Diceros bicornis minor: one gene and its partner. The protein of the gene in region 1 purifies or fractionates together with the protein of each later gene. This does not show direct contact. Links are inferred from orthologs where the notes say so. Each region holds a gene or a part of one and is shown on either strand. Other genes may lie near its edges.

The links.
Region 2: the proteins of SPAG9 (region 1) and RCCD1 purify together in Homo sapiens (affinity purification with mass spectrometry; 3 studies listed by BioGRID and IntAct, counting the BioPlex papers as one, with this or other methods). This does not show direct contact. The link is inferred for Diceros bicornis minor from reciprocal best matches to the Homo sapiens genes SPAG9 and RCCD1.

The regions. Positions count from the first base shown.
Region 1 is NC_080757.1:35,322,288-35,331,135, forward strand, and holds the start of SPAG9 (C-Jun-amino-terminal kinase-interacting protein 4), read left to right. Parts: upstream 1-5,156; 5' UTR 5,157-5,263; coding exon 5,264-5,566; intron 5,567-8,848. UniProt on the Homo sapiens protein: The JNK-interacting protein (JIP) group of scaffold proteins selectively mediates JNK signaling by aggregating specific components of the MAPK cascade to form a functional JNK signaling module.
Region 2 is NC_080744.1:93,958,166-93,966,859, reverse strand, and holds the start of RCCD1 (RCC1 domain-containing protein 1), read left to right. Parts: upstream 1-5,247; 5' UTR 5,248-5,252; coding exon of another isoform or gene 5,253-5,310; intron 5,311-5,333; exon of another isoform or gene 5,334-5,569; intron 5,570-5,577; exon of another isoform or gene 5,578-6,039; intron 6,040-6,161; exon of another isoform or gene 6,162-6,191; intron 6,192-6,643; 5' UTR 6,644-6,765; coding exon 6,766-6,940; intron 6,941-7,026; coding exon 7,027-7,423; intron 7,424-7,605; coding exon 7,606-7,727; intron 7,728-8,694. Other genes in the region: UNC45A (protein unc-45 homolog A), read left to right, coding at 1-31, 285-426, 770-910, 1,113-1,240, 1,458-1,524, 1,985-2,098, 2,317-2,432, 3,301-3,418 and 2 more. UniProt on the Homo sapiens protein: Plays a role in transcriptional repression of satellite repeats, possibly by regulating H3K36 methylation levels in centromeric regions together with KDM8.

The DNA of each region.
Region 1 (8,848 bases):
TTTTTTTTGCTAGGAAAGATTCACTCTGAGCTAATATCTGTTGCAAATCTCCCCCCAACCTTTTTTTTGCTTCCCAGAGCCCCAGTATATAGTTGTATATTTTAAAGCCCTTCTAGTTCTCCTGTGTGAGCCACCGCCACATCATGGCTACTGACAGGGGAGTGGTGTGGTTCCGTGCCCGGGAACTGACTTGTGCTGCAAAAGCAAAGTGTGCCGAACTTTAACCACTAGGCTGTCAGGGCTTGCTTGACAGTTTCTTCTCATCCTCTTTCCTTTCTCAGCATGACTGTTAATAAATGTATCAAAATTAATTTCTAAACTACAATGGATTTGCAATGTCATCCTCAATGAAATCTATTTAAAGACTCTTTTGGAAATGGGGTCCAGGTTTGTCTGATGTTTCCTAAAATACCTTTCTTTTTTCTTTTTTTTAAATTTATTGTGGTAACATTGGTTTATAACATTATATAAATTTCAGGTATACATCATTATATTTTGATTTCTGTGTAGATTACATCATGTTGACAACCCAAAGACTAATTACAATCAATCTAATCTATACTTTTCTTATCTATTTACTTAGGAGACTCAAGTGAGGGAGTAGGGAGACAAAATTCAGGTTTCTTGCTAACGAGTTTCATCGGATGCTTACTTGCTTCAGAGAAAACAAGTCCTCTTGCACTTGACACCTTTCCCACAGAGACAGTGAAGACTTCCTGGATCACCTTATAGATTGTTAAATGTTAACCATGTGTGTGGCCAGCCCCATGGCAAAGTGGTTAAGTGAGCGTGCTCCACTGCTGGTGGCCTGGGTTCGGATCCCAGGCGTGGACCGATGCACCCGTTGTCAGGCCACGCCGTAGCGGTGTCCCACATAAAGTAGAGGAAGATCGGCAGGGATGTTAGCTCGCGGTCAATCTGCCTCAGCAAAAAGAGGAGGATTGGCATGGATGTTAGCTCAGGGCTGATCTTCCTCACACACACACACAAAAATGTTAACCATGTGATATCTGGGAGATGGCATTACCTGAGTGATTTTAATTTTCCTCTCTGTGCTTTTCTGTATTTAGCAAATTTTCTACAGTAAGTATGCATTTCGTCTATAATTGGGGAAAAAATCCAACCAACTCACTGTTTTGAAAACATATCTTTTATTCCCAGAGTGAGATTCGGCTCAATGTGTAAAAAATATACTGAGAGTTGGGTGATGGGCCTCCTCTTCTTCCACTCCACTCAAGTCAGATGGAGGTAGGGAGAAAATAGACCTGAACACGAATATGACCAATATACCTTGGGCCCATCAAAAATAGCCTCAGATACTGGGATTCTTGCTTCAGCAATATGTTCAGCCTCCTCATCTTAGAGGCAATTTCTGGTAGTCCAAAGTTCTGAGGGGAGGGGGAGAAGAGGGGGTTCCAAGGAAATAGCTCTTGTCTAGAGGGTTTCTTGCAACTTGAACCTGGACATATTTATCCATTGTATCCTGACACCTTAAAAAGGCTTTCAAAGGGAAAACTGAGGGCTCAGAAAAATCCTCCGGCACTTTTCAAGAGTCCCGGATTCCACAGCTAGACTGCCTCACCAAGCACGTTCTAGTTTGGATGGGGTGATGAATCACTTATCATTTCACACCGCCATAAGTGGAGGGCCTTGTGCACTGGGAGCCCTCTTTTCCCTTCCTCTCTCAGCAACCGTCTCTCCCCATGTGGGAAAATGTAGTTTGTGAAACCAGACAAACTGATTCACATAGAAATAACTGTAAAAGTTCCAGAAGGCTAGACAAATAACAGGACCAGTAATTTCAGTGTTCCAGTGATTATAGTTATTGTGCTTAGGAAAAAACTCCTCCCTTCCTGCCCTCATCAACTCCTCCCCTCTGCTGCCCCATTACTGTCCTCACTATTTTTGCAAGGCCAAAGAATCTCTCGAAACGGAATTTCCTTCCTTTTAGGAATCAAGAGTAAACATTTACCCTGCAGTCCACAATATGACCTGTTTTCCTGAATGACTCTTAGTCTTTAACAATAATCTTGGCCCTTGGGGTTAGAGGTGGGTGCTGGGGATTTATCCAGGCAGTTGAGCATAAGAAGTAGTATTACCGCCTACATAATTAGGAGTCGACTAACGCAACTCAGTCTCAAGGCCCTGTCTCCTTTCACTCCCACCTACAAACGAGAATCATAGGATTTTAGAATTGCAAGCAATCTTCATAGATTCGGTAACACACCTCTTCACTATCCAGATGAAGAAGCTCAGGCTCACAGTCCTTAGCGCAGTGCCTGGCACCGAGTAGTACTGAGTAACTATTTACTTTTTTGTTTCTGGCCTAAGTTTTTTCAAAATGACCAGTCCATACTAGAATACAAGGTTCTCACTTTATAATTTTATTTATTTATTTATTTATTTCCCCAAAGCCCAGTAGATAGTTGTATGTCAAGCTGCACATCCTTCTAGTTGCTGTTTGTGGGACGTGGCCTCAGCATGGGCGGAGAAGCGGTGCCTCAGTGCGTGCCAGGGATCGAACCCTGGGCCACCAGCAGCAGAGCGCGCGCACTTAACCGCTAAGCCAAGGGGCCGGCCCAGGTTCTCACTTTAAACGCTGTTTTGTTTCCATTCTATCTCACCGAGTTAAGTGCTTCCATTTGGGTTTACTATAAACTCATTATAGCCAAAAATTTTATTTTTTAACAGCTTTATTGAGATACAATTCACATATCATACAATTCACCAATTTAAAGTGTACAATTCAATGGTTTTTAGTATATTCAGAGTCGTGTATCTATCACCACAATCAATTTTAGAGCATTTTCATTACCTCCCCAAGAAACCCCATACCCATTAGCAATCACCCTTCTTTTCTCTCATTCCTCCAGTCAGCCCTAGGCAACCACTGATCTTTTTTTTTTTTTTCCCCCTTGTCTCCCCAAAGCCCCAGTAGATAGTTGTTGATAGTTGCACATCCCTCTAGTTGCTGTATGTGGGACTCCGCCTCAGCGTGGCCAGACAAGCAGTGCGCCGGTGCACGCCTGGGATCTGAACCCAGGCCACCAGTAGCAGAGCGCGCGCACTCAACGGCTAAGCCACGGGGCTGGCCCTACCACTGATCTTTCATACATGGCTCTTTGTGACTGGTTGCTTTTACCTAGCATAATATATTCAGGATTCATCTATGTTGTGGCATGTACTTCATTCTTTGTATTGCGGAATAATAAATATTCTGTTAGATGCATACACCATATTTTTTAAATCTATTCAACAGTTGATGGGCATATGGCTGAATTTTAAACAATTAAATGTGATCTCTGATAGCAGAAGCTTAAAATCAAGACATAAATATATATCTCATATCTATGTTGAATTTAAAGAAGCATACTTATTATGAAGACTTTATTATAATCTCATACCTGAAAATAAAGACATTTTTTATCTAAATTTTCTTATGTATATAATATTGTGGAAAGACAAAGTAAAGCTTTGTCCTAAGTTTTCCTGTTCCTCTGAATCCCAGCAAAATAGAGGCATATATATATAGGTAGATTGCCTCAGAAACAGCCCTCAGGAAGAGAAAAAAGAAGAGAAAACAAAGATCCAGAGGAAGACCCTTTTTTCTGGTTTTCAAATGTGAGGTTTAGAAGAGAAAGGGCATTTGGGGCTCACACCCAACTAGCTGATCCGCATTCCTGAAACCCTGACACACACACAAACAATATAAAGGTGGATGTGGGGTGATGGTGAGAAAGGGGACAGTACAGGCCGCAAATTCATTCCCATTTGACATCATAAGGCTTAGCACGTTCATTTTTGTCCTTCTGAGTTTATAGATTGGCCCTCGCCCAACCTCCATCCTGTTCTTGTGGGTCTCCAGGTGGGTCCAGATTGGGAGACTTCGGAGGACTAGCTACTGCTTGGTAGGAAGAAGATGAACTTGTAAACATCACGTTGAGGGTATTTATGATCCCAGGAGGTGGCCGATTCCCCCGCTAAACCCTTGTCTATCCAAGTCCTGCCTTCCCTCCCCCTATTCTTAGAGGAACCGGGGCCGCAGAACTCTTGAGTCACCTGCCGCGGAAAGAAGGGGCTTTTGGGAGTGTCTTCCGCTCCGTTTGCAGAGGCTAGATGAGAACACCGGGAAGCGATCCTTGACTCAGCCCGCCTGAGGCTTGGGTGTTGTGTCATTCCCCACACGTGATGCTTTTCCAGGCGGCGGATACCTCACGCATCATGGGACTTATTCACCCCAGTGACTCCACCCCTTTCCTCCTCTACTCCTCAACCCCCTTCTTGCCTCCTCCGCCCCCCTTCAAGACGAGAAGATAAGAGGGTGGCTGGAGGCAGGAAATGCCACTCTCCCAGGCTGGCCAGGAGAAGCAGAGAAAACCCCGAGTTTGGGAAGGTGCGAGACGTGGAGTTACAGTTTTACCCTTCTCCAGAATGCTTTGCACTTCCTCTGTTTTAGGCTATCGTTACTCTCATTATCCCCAGATAGTTCCATCCTATTTGAGACCACCTTATCACTTAGGTAGACCTGGTTTTAGTTAAGGTTTCCCCACTTTCCTCTGACCCCGGAATTCTCAGTCAGAACTGGTCTGAGTCCCCGATCAGCTTTCTTCCCGTTCTAGCCGTGTGACCTTGAGTGAACCACAACTTCTCCGAGCCTACTCTCCATGTCTGGGAAACGCAGGCGAAACGTCTACCGCACCACGCCTGTTGCGCGGAACAAATGAGAAAGTCCTTGTGAGCTGTAAAAAGCAACAGAAGTTAGCTACGTTAATTCTGGACGTGTAGTCACTCTTGCAGAACCCTTCCCTTTCCTTTGGGACCCGCCCTGCAAATCCCGCCTCGTGCTGACAGTTGTCGCCACCCTCCTGTCGCCGTTTTTCCCATTGGCGAACGCACTGTACGCGCGGCGCCGAGTGTTGACGTCACGGCCCCTGCCGGCGCACGATGACGTATTGGCCCCGCCCCGGCCGCTCCTTACCTCCCGCGGGGCCCCGCCCATCGGGCCGACGCGGCGCGAGTCCCGCCCCGCGGGTGACGTGTGCGCGTGAGGCCCGGCCGCCCCGGCAGTTGGTGCAGCGGCGGTTGGGCTGAGGGCGCTTACCCCACCCCTCCCCTCCTCCGGCCCGGGCTCCCACCCCGCCGGGCCCAGCCCCGGCCCTAGCCCCAACCCTAGCCCGAGCCCGAGCCGGGCCCGTCCCGTGCGGGCCCGTGCCGCCCCCTCAGCCGGCGACGCCCCGGGCCGCCCGCCCGCCTGCCCGCCACCATGGAGCTGGAGGACGGTGTGGTGTACCAGGAGGAGCCCGGCGGCTCTGGGGCCGTGATGTCGGAGCGGGTGTCCGGCCTGGCCGGCTCCATCTACCGCGAGTTCGAGCGGCTCATCGGGCGCTACGACGAGGAGGTGGTCAAGGAGCTGATGCCACTGGTGGTGGCCGTGCTGGAGAACCTGGACTCGGTGTTCGCGCAGGACCAGGAGCACCAGGTGGAGCTGGAGCTGCTGCGGGACGACAACGAGCAGCTCATCACCCAGTACGAGCGGGAGAAGGCGCTGCGCAAGCACGCCGAGGAGGTGAGGGCCGGCCGGCCGGCGGGGAGGGCGGGGGCCGGGCCCGAGGGCGGGCCGGGGGCCAGGGGTCGCGGGTCGCGGCCGGGCCTGGCCCGGGAGGGGGGTGCGCCGGGCCTCCTAGGGGCGGGCCTGAGGCCGAGGCCCCCCGACTGAGTCCGGAGGCCGAGAGGTCCCCGGGACCCCCGGCCCGCGTCGGAAGCCGAGGCGGACGAGTGAGTGTCCAGGAGAAGGGAGTGAGATGGGGGAGGCAGGGCCCGGGGAGGAAGCCACAGCCTGGCATGAGGGCACCTGGGGTTGGCTGAGGGCAGAGATTTTAGGATGTCTGGTCGCCTCTTGTAGTTTAGGGAAGCTTCCGACCACCGTAGGATAGTCAGATGGTGGTTCAAACTTTTACCACGACGAGGGGGGGGTGGTGGTGGCATTTAAATATGTATGTAACTTCCGCTGCTTCCAGTACCTTTCCAGGGGGTTGCTGCTTTGGGAAGTTAGAGATCTCCCTCTTTCGGTCAGTTTCTTTTTGATGTTTTAACGCTGTTGAAACAGAGGTTTAATTTTATGTTTTGTATGCCTTGGTTGACACTTTGTCAACACTTAGGTGTTGTAAAGCAATACTCTGTAAATATGGAGAGTATACAACTTTATTTTATGTATCCCACAGCAAAGCATTCCTCCATATCAGGTGGTAACCTTGGACAGTTCCCTTTAAAAACTCTATTTATAAAGAGGACGGGGCGAGGGGCGGGCGGGTTTGAGGAGGTTGTAGGTGACTGCTGGCAACCCATTTCAGACTGCAGTTTACAGGTGCATTTGGCCGGCTCTCAACTCTAGCACCTCAGCAGTGATCTCTGTGCCCTCCCCTCAAGTCTGTGAACCTTTTGGAGCTCTGCGGTGCAGGTGGTCGGTCTTGGACATCTTGAGACAGTCAAGGATTTTAGCTTTCAGGCTGTGTTGGCATTATTTCTGTAGAACTTACCTAATGCAAGTGAAGTGTCCTGTTCATCTTTGTTTCTTGAGCGTGTAGTACACCTGGTGTCTAAATACATGGTGATTGAAGGGAACTAAATGACTAATTATTGAAGGAATGACATGTTCTCTTTCAAAAATACTTGAAAAGTTTTTGGAATGTGAGATTTGTTTCGCAGCTCATTTCCTAACACTAAATAGTACCACCGTTTAAACTTTTTGTCACATAGACCTTTGTACCAGGTCAAATAGTTCTTTTTCAAGCTTTACTGTAGTGATGATTTTTAGTTCTGATTTTGTGAGTCATTTGACTTAAAGGAATGCTGTTATATTTGCCAAACAAAATTGACTTTATTTCAAGAGTATTTCGAAGTATATAGGGAAGGAGGGGTTGAAAAAAATCTAAGGATGGGATCACAATTTCCACTAGTTTAATAGCACGATTTATAGAACAGAGGTCATGTACTGCTTCTGAGAGGGCATGCCATATCTTCATGCCCACACAGGCCCTTGCCAGTGTGTGGATGTACATGGAAAAGACTGGGGAATTAACCACATATACACACAGGTGAGGAGCAGGCCCAGCATGACCTATCACCTGGGGTAAAAGAAATGCTCCCTCCAGCCTTCAACTCCTGTGAGTTCATATAAACATGGGCAAAATGCCAAGGTCACACGTGCCAGGAAAACCATCTGCCACAGGTTGCAGAATCAGAAAATAAAACTGACTAACTGCTGGGCTCTGGGTTATATATTAATTTCGTAAATAAATAACTTTTTAAACATGGGTTATCCAGTGACTTCCTTTGTAATTTATACTTTTTCAAACACATCTATAAATTCTCTCTAATGAAACCTTTTGGCAAAGGGCCATGACCTGAGAATAGAGAACATTGATGAAACGCTAGATGAGCCAACTCCCAGACCACAAACATAAAACCACCTTGTTATCAGTCTTCAAGTAAGATCATAAATCAAGTTTTACCCAGTACCCAGAAATTCATTCTCTCTTAGGCCAATATGCAGAGGTGAATTCTGTGTTTAATTTTCTGTGAGTGCTTTGTTTGTGGCCTTTAATATGGAAACTAAGAGTCTGCTATTAGAGCAAAAGTGCCTCAGGGCATTTACAGCATAAGTATTTGAAAGTATGTAAATGGTCCATCCCCAGAAAGTGTAAAGTAAATTCTAAGCACCTTTGTGGAAATTTAGGAGGGTATGTGAATGGTGAGAATGTTTTAGGAGGTGTGAAGTGCTATAATCTCTTGCTTGCCGGAATTCTCAACAAGAAATCAGAAACTTAATCTTTATTATAATAATATTACTTAATTTGAATACCTTCTGTCTTCTTCTTTGCTTTTATGTGAATGTTTTTGTGTAGAATTAGCCTGCTGTTTTTGTGAGTCTTTAAAAACAACCTAAAGGAGGGCTAATTTTAGGTGGGTTTGTGACCAGTTTCAAATGCTAATCAGGAAATCTTCATCCTGTTGCTCACCTCTCTTCTCTTTGGGCTCTCTACTCCAGCCAGATGTCTTTCCATTCCTTAAGCAAGTCTTGTCTGATGCCTTCGCCCATGCTGTTCCCTTGGCCTACTATGCTTTTCTCTCAGAGCTTCACCTTTTCTAGCTTCTCACTTTCGGCTCAGCTTAAATTTCACTTCTTCATCTAGACCTTGCCTGTCTACTCTATCCACAGTAAGCCCTGCGAATCTATGAATAATTTATTTGTAAATCAGTGATTTTTAAAAACAAAAATCTGGATAGAAAATGATCTGGAGAGAGGTGTTATTCTTGGGAAGAATATGTGTTTTTTTATGTTCTGTTTGTGCAAATTCTTTTAAAATAGACATGATTTGCTTTGAGTAATTAGAAAAAAAAGGAAAACTTCCCTGATAAGTAGGCAAATGAGTTGAAGAACGTTTTTCACAGGAGTTTAGTTCCAAGTGATTCTTTGGGCCTTGTTTGTTGTCACCATTATTTTCATTTTGTTTTATTATTATGTTTTTTGTGTGAGGAAGATCAGCCCTGCGCTAACATCCATGCCAGTCCTCCTCTTTTTGCTGAGGAAGACTGGCCCTGGGCTAACATCCGTGCCCATCTTCCTCTACTTTATGTGGGATGCCGCCACAGCATGGCTTGCCAAGCGGTGCGTCATTGCACGCCCGGGATCTGAACCCGCGAACCCTGGGCCGCCGAAGTGGAGTGTGTGCGCTTAACCGCTATGCCACTGGCCCGGCCCCGTCACCATTATTTTCAAAGTGAGTGTTTTGCATGATTGGGTGGAGGGAGATTGCACATAAAAATGAAGATGCACCTTCTTCGTCCT
Region 2 (8,694 bases), on another chromosome or scaffold:
CCACTCTCAAACTGGCTAAGCAGTGTCGAAAGTGAGTCGTTTGGCGTTGCCATGGCTCCCCCACCACCTGTCAGCTAGACTTCAAGAGAGGAGGGTCTGGGTGGAGGGTGGGGCCTCCTCACTGCCCTGCTCTCCCCCAGGCAGACCCTCCTGGATCCTGCCATGTGAACTGCTTCCGTATGTGGCGGGGATGCCCAAGCCCCTAGCTTTGACTCCTTGGTCCTGGTGTGCCCCTTCCTGCCCCGCTAGTTCTGATGCTTGTCCACTACCCTGCATGACCCCAGGTGGCTGTGCAATGACCAGATTGATGCAGGCACTCGGCGCTGGGCAGTGGAGGGCCTGGCCTACCTCACCTTCGATGCCGATGTGAAGGAAGAGTTTGTGGAGGACGAGGCTGCCCTGAAGGCTCTGGTCCAGCTGAGCAGGGTAGCACCAGTCATCCGGGGACACTTCCTAGGATTAGAGCTTACCTGGCTTTCTTGGCAGGTCTTGGCCAGTGGCTTTTGTGGCCCGAGTGGCCGCTCTGGGTGGCGTGGGCAGACTGGCCTGCACCAGCAGTGTCAGAAAAGACTGTCTCTTTGGTGGAGTTGGAGGTCAAGTGTGTGAGCTCCCAAAGGCCGGGGGCAGGCGGGGGCCTGGGGAGGTTTCCAGATTCATCCTGGTGCCCAGGTGGTCCAGTGAGGGTAGAACTGGGGGCCTGGGCAGCATTTATCCCAGTGCTGCTCTGCCCCCTGGGATGGCTGACTGACTGCCCCTCTGCTCCTGGCAGTCCGAGGAGAGGTCAGTGCTCTTTGCGGTGGCTTCGGCACTGGTGAACTGCACCAACAGCTATGACTACGAGGAGCCCGACCCCAAGATGGTGGAGCTGGCCAAGTATGCCAAGCAGCATGTGCCTGAGCAGCACCCGAAGGTGAGGGGGCCGCTAGGAGGGGTTTGGGGGTTTCTGTATCACTGGGACCGGTTGACCTGGTGCATCCAGAGCAGATGAATCTTCTGTTTAAGCGGGTTTCTTGCCCTTTGTTCTCATGTTCATCAATTTGTGCTGTGAAGAGGGTCCCCCTTTCCCTGTCTAGTCAGCCGAGGCCCCTCTGTTAAGCTGCCTGCCTCCCCAGGACAAACCAAGTTTCGTGCGGGCTCGGGTGAAGAAGCTGCTGGCAGCAGGCGTGGTGTCAGCCATGACGTGCATGGTGAAGACCGAAAGCCCTGTGCTGACGAATTCCTGCCGAGAGCTGCTCTCCAGGTGAGCCTGCCTCAGCGGAGCCAGACCTTCCCAGCTCTTGAGCCTTGAGGCTGCCGATGTAGCCACAGAGGGAGCAGGTCCTGGTGCTGTGGGCCTCCTAGAGCAGCGGTGCCACACGCTTGGCTGCCTTCCTTCACCGAGCGTAGAAGTGGAGTGTCTACCTGCCAGGGCCCCGGCCCCACTCACCCACCACCCCACTACCGCCCTCTCTCTGCAGGGTCTTCCTGGCGTTGGTGGAAGAGGTGGAGGACCGCGGCACTGTGGTTGCTCAGGGAGGGGGCAAGGTAAGCTGGCTTACAGACTCCTTCCTGATGGTCCACAAGACATGACTCAGTGGCTGCCACACCAGAGATTAGTTTTAGATGTGGGATGGGAAACATTATTAGTGACCGGCAGGAACATCTTCCTGCTGAGAGAGGGATGCTGACGGGGCGGGTTCATTGGAGCCCCCGGCACTTTGTGCCTGTTAAGGTCCTGAGCTCTCCCCCTTTCCCTGTGTCGTTGACCTCCATGGCCCCAGCACCGGCACAATCCATGGCTAGCCCTTCCTAGGTGTTTCAGGAAGTGTTTGGGTAGCTTAATGAGAGACCTCAGAGAGGTGGAGAGGGTCTGAGCGGGGAGTGTTGTCAAGCCTGAGGAGAGAGGAGGAGAAAGGTGCGGGTGGACAGTCAGAGCTCAGGGCCTGCTGGTTCGGGCCTTACGCTCCCGGGCACATCCTGGACACGGACGGGCTTGTCCCTACAGGCTCTGCTCCCGCTGGCCCTGGAAGGCACTGACGTGGGGCAGACAAAGGCAGCCCAGGCTCTCGCCAAGCTCACCATCACCTCCAACCCAGAGATGACCTTTCCTGGCGAGCGGGTACGTGTCTTCCTGCCCCAGCCCTGGCCTCCACCCCCTCACTGGGCCCTGATGGTCTCTGACCTGGGCTGTGGCTCCTCCGTGGGTTCAATAGGAAGTGGCAGCTTTGCTGAGCCCTAGGGTGGGGAGGGCAGCCTTCTCTCAGGGGGTGGACCCCCGCCTGTGGGCTCGGTGGGGACTGGGCTGAGTAGCCCTGACAGGTGGGGTGCATGTCACAGATCTATGAGGTGGTCCGGCCCCTTGTCTCCCTGTTGCACCTCAACTGCTCAGGGCTGCAGAACTTCGAGGCGCTCATGGCTCTAACAAACCTGGCGGGCATCAGTGAGAGGCTCCGGTAAGGTCCCCTGGGACATGGGGCCCAGGTAGGGAGGGCATCAGGGTTTAGATTATCCCCAGTAAAGCACTTGACAGTTTGGAAAGCACTCTTCGGTCATGGCTTTATTTGAGCCTCACAGTGAGTCCTCTGTGTCATCCAGCTGAGGACACAGGCCAGGCGGTTTGATTTGGACAGCGCTCCCTGAGAGAGCACATCACTGGGCAGTAACAGTGCCAGCTCTGGAGTCAGACCATCTGGGTTCAAATCCTGGCTTCACTGGGTACCAGGGTGTAACCTCAAACAAGTTACATAACCACTCTGTGCCTCAGTTTCCCCCTCTGAAATGGGATGGTTATAGTAGTTACCTCATGGAGTTGTAGTGAGGAGAATTAAATGAGAAAATACATGTAAAAGCACTTAGTGCATAGGTACCTGGCTCCTAGCGATGTGCCCAGTCGATGCATATTAGCTATTACTACTAGTGGTGACCCTGGGCACATTACTCACTACTTAGCCTTGGTTTCTTCTTTTGCAAAATAGTCATGCTGATCACACCTGCACTGTCACCACAAGGCTGTGGTGAGGATTGAGTAAGGTAGTCCAAGTGCTGGGTCAGGGGAAGTGCTTAAATGTTCGGTGTTAGCATCACCATCACCACCACCCTGGTCTCCTAACTCCTGGTTGAAAGCATTCCACGCCCCATGCCATCTCCTAGGCCTGGGTAGAAGGCTGGAAACCCCTGCAGTTCATACCTGGTGCAGGAGGGCCTTTGGACATTGCCCAGAGAAATCCTCAGCCCAGGGCTCGGTTGTATGGGGATATGGGGGTGGGGGCAGTGGATGCAGAGGCTCTGACGATGCTGAGCCTTCCACCCTCGGCCCTGCAGGCAGAAGATCCTGAAGGAGAAGGCTGTGCCCATGATTGAGGGCTACATGTTTGAGGAGCATGAGATGATCCGCCGGGCAGCCACGGAGTGCATGTGTAACTTGGCCATGAGCAAGGAGGTGAGGGCTGGTCCAGGCGGTCATGGTGGGCAGCCTTGCAGAAATATCTGTGCCCTGGCTGGGCTTTGCCTCAGCTGACTCAGTCCACGCCCCTCATCTGGCCACAGGTGCAGGACCTCTTTGAAGCCAAGGGCAATGACCGGCTGAAGCTGCTGGTGCTGTACAGTGGAGAGGATGATGAGCTGCTCCGGCAGGCGGCTGCGGGGGGCCTGGCCATGCTCACTTCCATGCGGCCCTCGCTCTGCAGCCGCATCCCCCAAGTGGTCAGTGCCTCTTCTTGGCAGGGGAGGCGAGGTGGGCCAGGACCCCCCAGCATGGTGGCAGTTGGTGGGGGAAGTCCCAGGGTGTGCGAGTGTGTTCCCTGCCAAGGTTTAGCCTGTTGCTCAGTGGTCACACAGCCCTGTTTCCTGCAGACCACACATTGGCTGGAGATCCTGCAGGCCCTGCTTCTGAGCCCCAACCAGGAGCTGCAGCACCGGGGCGCTGTGGTGGTGTTGAACATGGTGGAGGCCTCGAGAGAGATCGCTAGCACCCTGATAGAGAGCGAGGTGCTGGAGATCCTGTCCGTGCTGGCTAAGGGCAAGGAGAGCCCCATCACCAGGGCTGCTGCAGCCTGCCTAGAGAAAGCGGTGGAATATGGGCTTATCAAACTCAACCAGGATGGAGACTGAGGGGCTGCTAATGCACACGCTACCTGTCACAGCACAGGGAGCCAGGACAGACACGGCTTTTTGCTGGTGGGGGCTGGGATGCGGAACACTCTGGCCTCCTCTCTAGCTGCCCTTTGATGTCTTCTGTTCTGAGTCAGGGGCCACATTCAGTCACAGCCCTGCTCTGCCAGCACTGCCTGCAGCCTCACGCAGCAGGGCCCTTTCTGTACTACTGTAGACAGCTGGGGATGGGGAAGGTGCATCTGGACTCAGCCTGTGGATTCCTGCACTGGGAAGGGCACATCGAGCAGCCTCACCACCTTGAGCATCACCTGAGCCTCCTAGCAGGCCTGCCTCTGACTCTCTAATAAAAGTGTGTGGAACTCAAATGTGTGCCCTGTCTGTGGGCAGGGAGGGCAGGCCGTGAGCCCTGGTCTGGAGCAGGAGCGGGCTGTGGTGGAGCACAGCGGAGCTTTATGGCAGCAGCAGAGCCACCTCCACGGAAGGAATCTGATGGATTCCACCCAGAGCCCGCTGAGTTGCGTCCTAACCCTGTTGGAGGGTCAAGGGGTAAACCGAGGAAGCTGATCAATAAAAAACTATACAGTCGCCTGGAAAAATGGGTTTAGGGTACAGACTCCTAGATCCTGGCCCTTCAATACTTTGTCTTTGTATTGGGAGTTCTCAGTGACCTCCACTCAGGCGGTGCTCGGAGTTGGGGTTGGTGTGTCGCCCGGGCATGCCGTTCCCTCATGGAAAAACCTGCGAGAACTTCCCGCAGCTAAGCCGGGTGGGAGCGGGGGCGGGCGACCCCAAGTGCCCGCGCTGGACGTCCCGATAGCGGGCTCCGCCCAGCTTGAAGTTCATTGGATCGACAGAGATAAGTGGCAGGTCCCGAGCCAATGGAAGGTAAAACCCGCCGAGCGCCCGCTCAGGATGGCTGCTTCCTGTTGGGCGGCAGTCCTGCGCATGTCCAGTAGCGAGCTGCCGCGGTCCCAAGCCCAGGGGAGTGACGGGGAGGTGCCCTTTAGCTCAGCTCTGAATGTTCCCCAGGTGCTTCTAACTCGCGCTTCGCTGTCCCGCGAGTGCCTGTGGGGAGAGGGACCACCTGGTCCGACCTCTGCCCGGGCCCGCGCCCACCGGAAGTTTCACACCCGAGCCCGCGGCGGCCCAGTGTAGGCCTGATGACCGGCTCCACGCCCGTAGGACTGGACGGGCCGCAGCGGAGACTGCAGCCGCGAGGTGAGCAATGCCCCGCGGCCGCCCGCCCCGAGCGGTTACGTCACCCCCTCGCCGGCGATTGGCCCCGGGGAGGCTGCGGCAGCCAATGGGCGCCTCGCCCAGGGCGCGGCTCTTCAAACCTGTCCTCCCCGGCGGCTGTCAGCCAGGTCCTGGGCGGGAGACCCATTCCCGGGCGGCTGCTCTGCGCCCCGGCCTTTCCTTCCTCCAGATTGCCCATCGGAAGGAGCTGCCTGAAGGGGTGCACAGGGTGAAGATCAAGGTCAGAGGCCTCCTTGGGTTGGAATTGAACACGGGAGGGGTTAGGAGCCCAGGCCCGGGTCAAGGAGCTTTGGTCGAGGAAGAGACCCAGGATCTGACTTCAGAGGCTTGAAAATGCCTGTGGAATTCTGATCAAGCCAAACATGCTGTACGGAGAAAGCAGCGTTGCTGTTGTAACCACTAGACTTTGCGTCTTTCTCCCCATTTATGAGTGAGCTCCTTGGGGGCAGACAGCTGTTCTCATGGGTCCAGAGTAAGGGATCAATAAATGCTTGTAGAACGATTAAATGACTAGATGAGGTCCAGTTGAAATTATGTTTATCTAGATCCCTGAAAACCAGTAAGTACTAGTGGTCGTTTTTATCAACTCTAAGTACTGGATTTAATAAGCTAACACTTACAGTGCACTTATCATGGTATGTGCGTGCACTTGAACGCTTTGTTTGCATCTGTTCCAAACAATTCTACAAGGTAGGTACAAACACCACCCTCCCCTACACACCCCCCCCCCTTAGTAAAACTGAAGAAACTGAATTGGACCTAGAGAGCTTAAGTGAATTGGCTGAGGACACAAAGCTGCAGAGGCAAACGTCAACCCTGGAGCTGGTCGTGGCCCGTGCGGGGTACTGTCTCCCAACGCTCTGCTTTCCACTGGTGGGAAGAGCACTGTATGTGGAGTCGCTGGGCCTTGAGTTTGGCCCTCTGCCCCTCTTGGTCCTAAGCTGTGTGACTGTGTAAGGGTTACCTTCTCTGGGAGTCTCTTCTGTCAAATGGGGGCGATTCTAGTTCCCAAGACTGCTTGGGATAATGCGCCTGACACTGGGAATTTGGATCTGGAGGGGCTCGGATCCTAGTCCAACGCCCCAGGGAGAGGCCACTTAAATACCTCATGCTCCCTTTGTGGGACGCTGAGCTTGCTTGAGTCAAAAGGACAAGGAAGGTACCGGCTCTGGACAGCTCAGAATCTTCCTGAGTCTGCTAGGACGTTAGCCAAGGCTCCCGCCCACCGAACGTTTGTGTAATGGATATCGTCTACCTCTGTGGTGAGGAGAATGGTATTTTCCCCATTTTACAGGTAAGGCAGCTGCTGTGTCCCGTAAGGGGCTCATCTCCAAGAATCTCCTCCGGTTCTAGCCCTACCCTCCGTCCCGCCGCCACCCCAACCGGCGGGCGGCCAGCAGAGGGCGCTTTCAGGGCATGGCCGAGGAGCGCCCAGGCTCCTGGTTCGGCTTCGGTTTCCGCGGCTTCGGGCAGGCGCTGGGCTCGGGGCGCGGGCGCCAGGTTCACAGTCCCGAGCCGCTGCGGGCGCCGGGCGCGGGCCTCGACGTCTGCCGCGTGAGCGCCAGCTGGAGCTACACCGCCTTCGTGAGCCGTGAGCACCCCCCCCGCTCCCCCTTCCGGCCCCCGGCGCTGGTTTCGCGGCCCACGCCCTCTCCAGCGCGCTCTCCGCCCCCGCAGGTGGAGGCCAGGTGGAGCTGTCGGGCGCGGCGGGCGGAGCGGCGGGCGGCTGCAGAGACGCGTGGGCTTCGGAGGCGCTGCTCGTGGTGTTGCGCGCGGGGCCGGGCCCCGAGCCCGGGGCGGAGCTGCAGGCCTGGGAGCCCGGGTCTGCGCTGCGCGGGGAGCCCCTCTGGGTCAAGACTGTGGTGTCGGAGGCCGAGAGGGAATACGGACCGGACGGCAAGACCCAGGCTGGGCCGCTGCCCCTGCTGCCCTGCGCCCGCGCCTACGTGAGCCCGCGGCCGCCCTTCTACCGACCTCTGGCCCCGGAGCTGCGGGCGCGCCGGCTGGAGCTGGGCGCCGAGCACGCGTTGCTGCTGGACGCTACGGGCCAAGTGTTCTCCTGGGGCGGCGGCAGGTGAGTGGGGGTGTGGCCAGGTGTAGGCCAGCTAGGCTTTTTGCGGGGGGTGGGGGGGGTGGGGGCGGTTAAATGTAGCAGGAGTGGGAGATGAGCATATGGGGGCAGGTGAATGTGAATGGGGAGGGAAGGGGAGGGAGACCCTTTGATGTGTCTAGTTGACTAGCGTCTCCCTTGCTCAGGCATGGACAGCTGGGCCACGGGACTCTGGAGGCAGAGCTGGAGCCCAGGCTGTTGGAGGCGCTGCAGGGCCTGGCCATGGCTGAGGTGGCCGCAGGGGGCTGGCACTCTGTGTGTGTGAGTGGTGAGTGACCTAGGGCTTCTCTAAACCAGCTCAGGGTCTTGTTGGCTCCAACCCTTCCTCTTCCTTCCTCCTCCTCATCCAATTTTGCTGAGTGGCCTAGCCAGGCCTCCTTCCCAGCTCATCCCAGATCAGCCAGCCCAGTCATTCATGACTCCTAAATGCCACTCAGATTCAGTGCCTTTGCCACCGCCATCTCCCCTCACACGGGGGCTGCTGCAGGTGGTTCCTACCTGTCACTGGCCTCACTGGCCCTCCCATCCACCCGCCCCCAGCCAGAGCTATCTTTCTAAAATACTCCTTGAGGGGGCAGCCGAGCCAAGGAAAATGGAGAAGAAAGGCTGCAGTTGCCCACATGCCATGATGTGTGGCACACAGTAGGCACTCACATCCCCACAGGGAGGAAGATGGTGGTGAGTGTGTGGCCTGCTGTTGTGCCCAGAATGAGGAGTTTCACTTTAAATTGTGTTGAGGCCCCCACCCTGGCAGGTGATCCAGGTGCAGCTGTTCCTAGGCTGTTGGGGGGTGCTGGGAGCAGATGAGCTTTGCAAGGATCTGCATCTGGAGCTTTGGCTGCCACTTACATCACGAGGGTGCTTTCAAAACTACCTGTGCCTGCACTCTCTTCTCATGTTCTCAGGTAATGGGCCTGGGTTGACAGCCAGGCTCGAGAACTCCTGGGCTAGAGGGAAAAGAAGGGTGGGCTGGAAACAGCCCAGTGGGAAGTCTCACACTAAGGAGGAGGAATTTGAAGCCTTGAGTTGGGTATGGTGGTTGAGCACAGATGCTTCAAACCAGGCTTCCTAGGTTCAAAGCATCACTCTGCCCCTTGTGACCTCAGGCAGAACACTAACCTCTTCATGCCTCAAGTTGTCTTGTAAATAAAATGGGAATATTGTGTAAAATTGGGATATTGTCATATAACCCCCTGTAGAGCTGTTATGAGAATTAAATGATTATATTTGCAAAG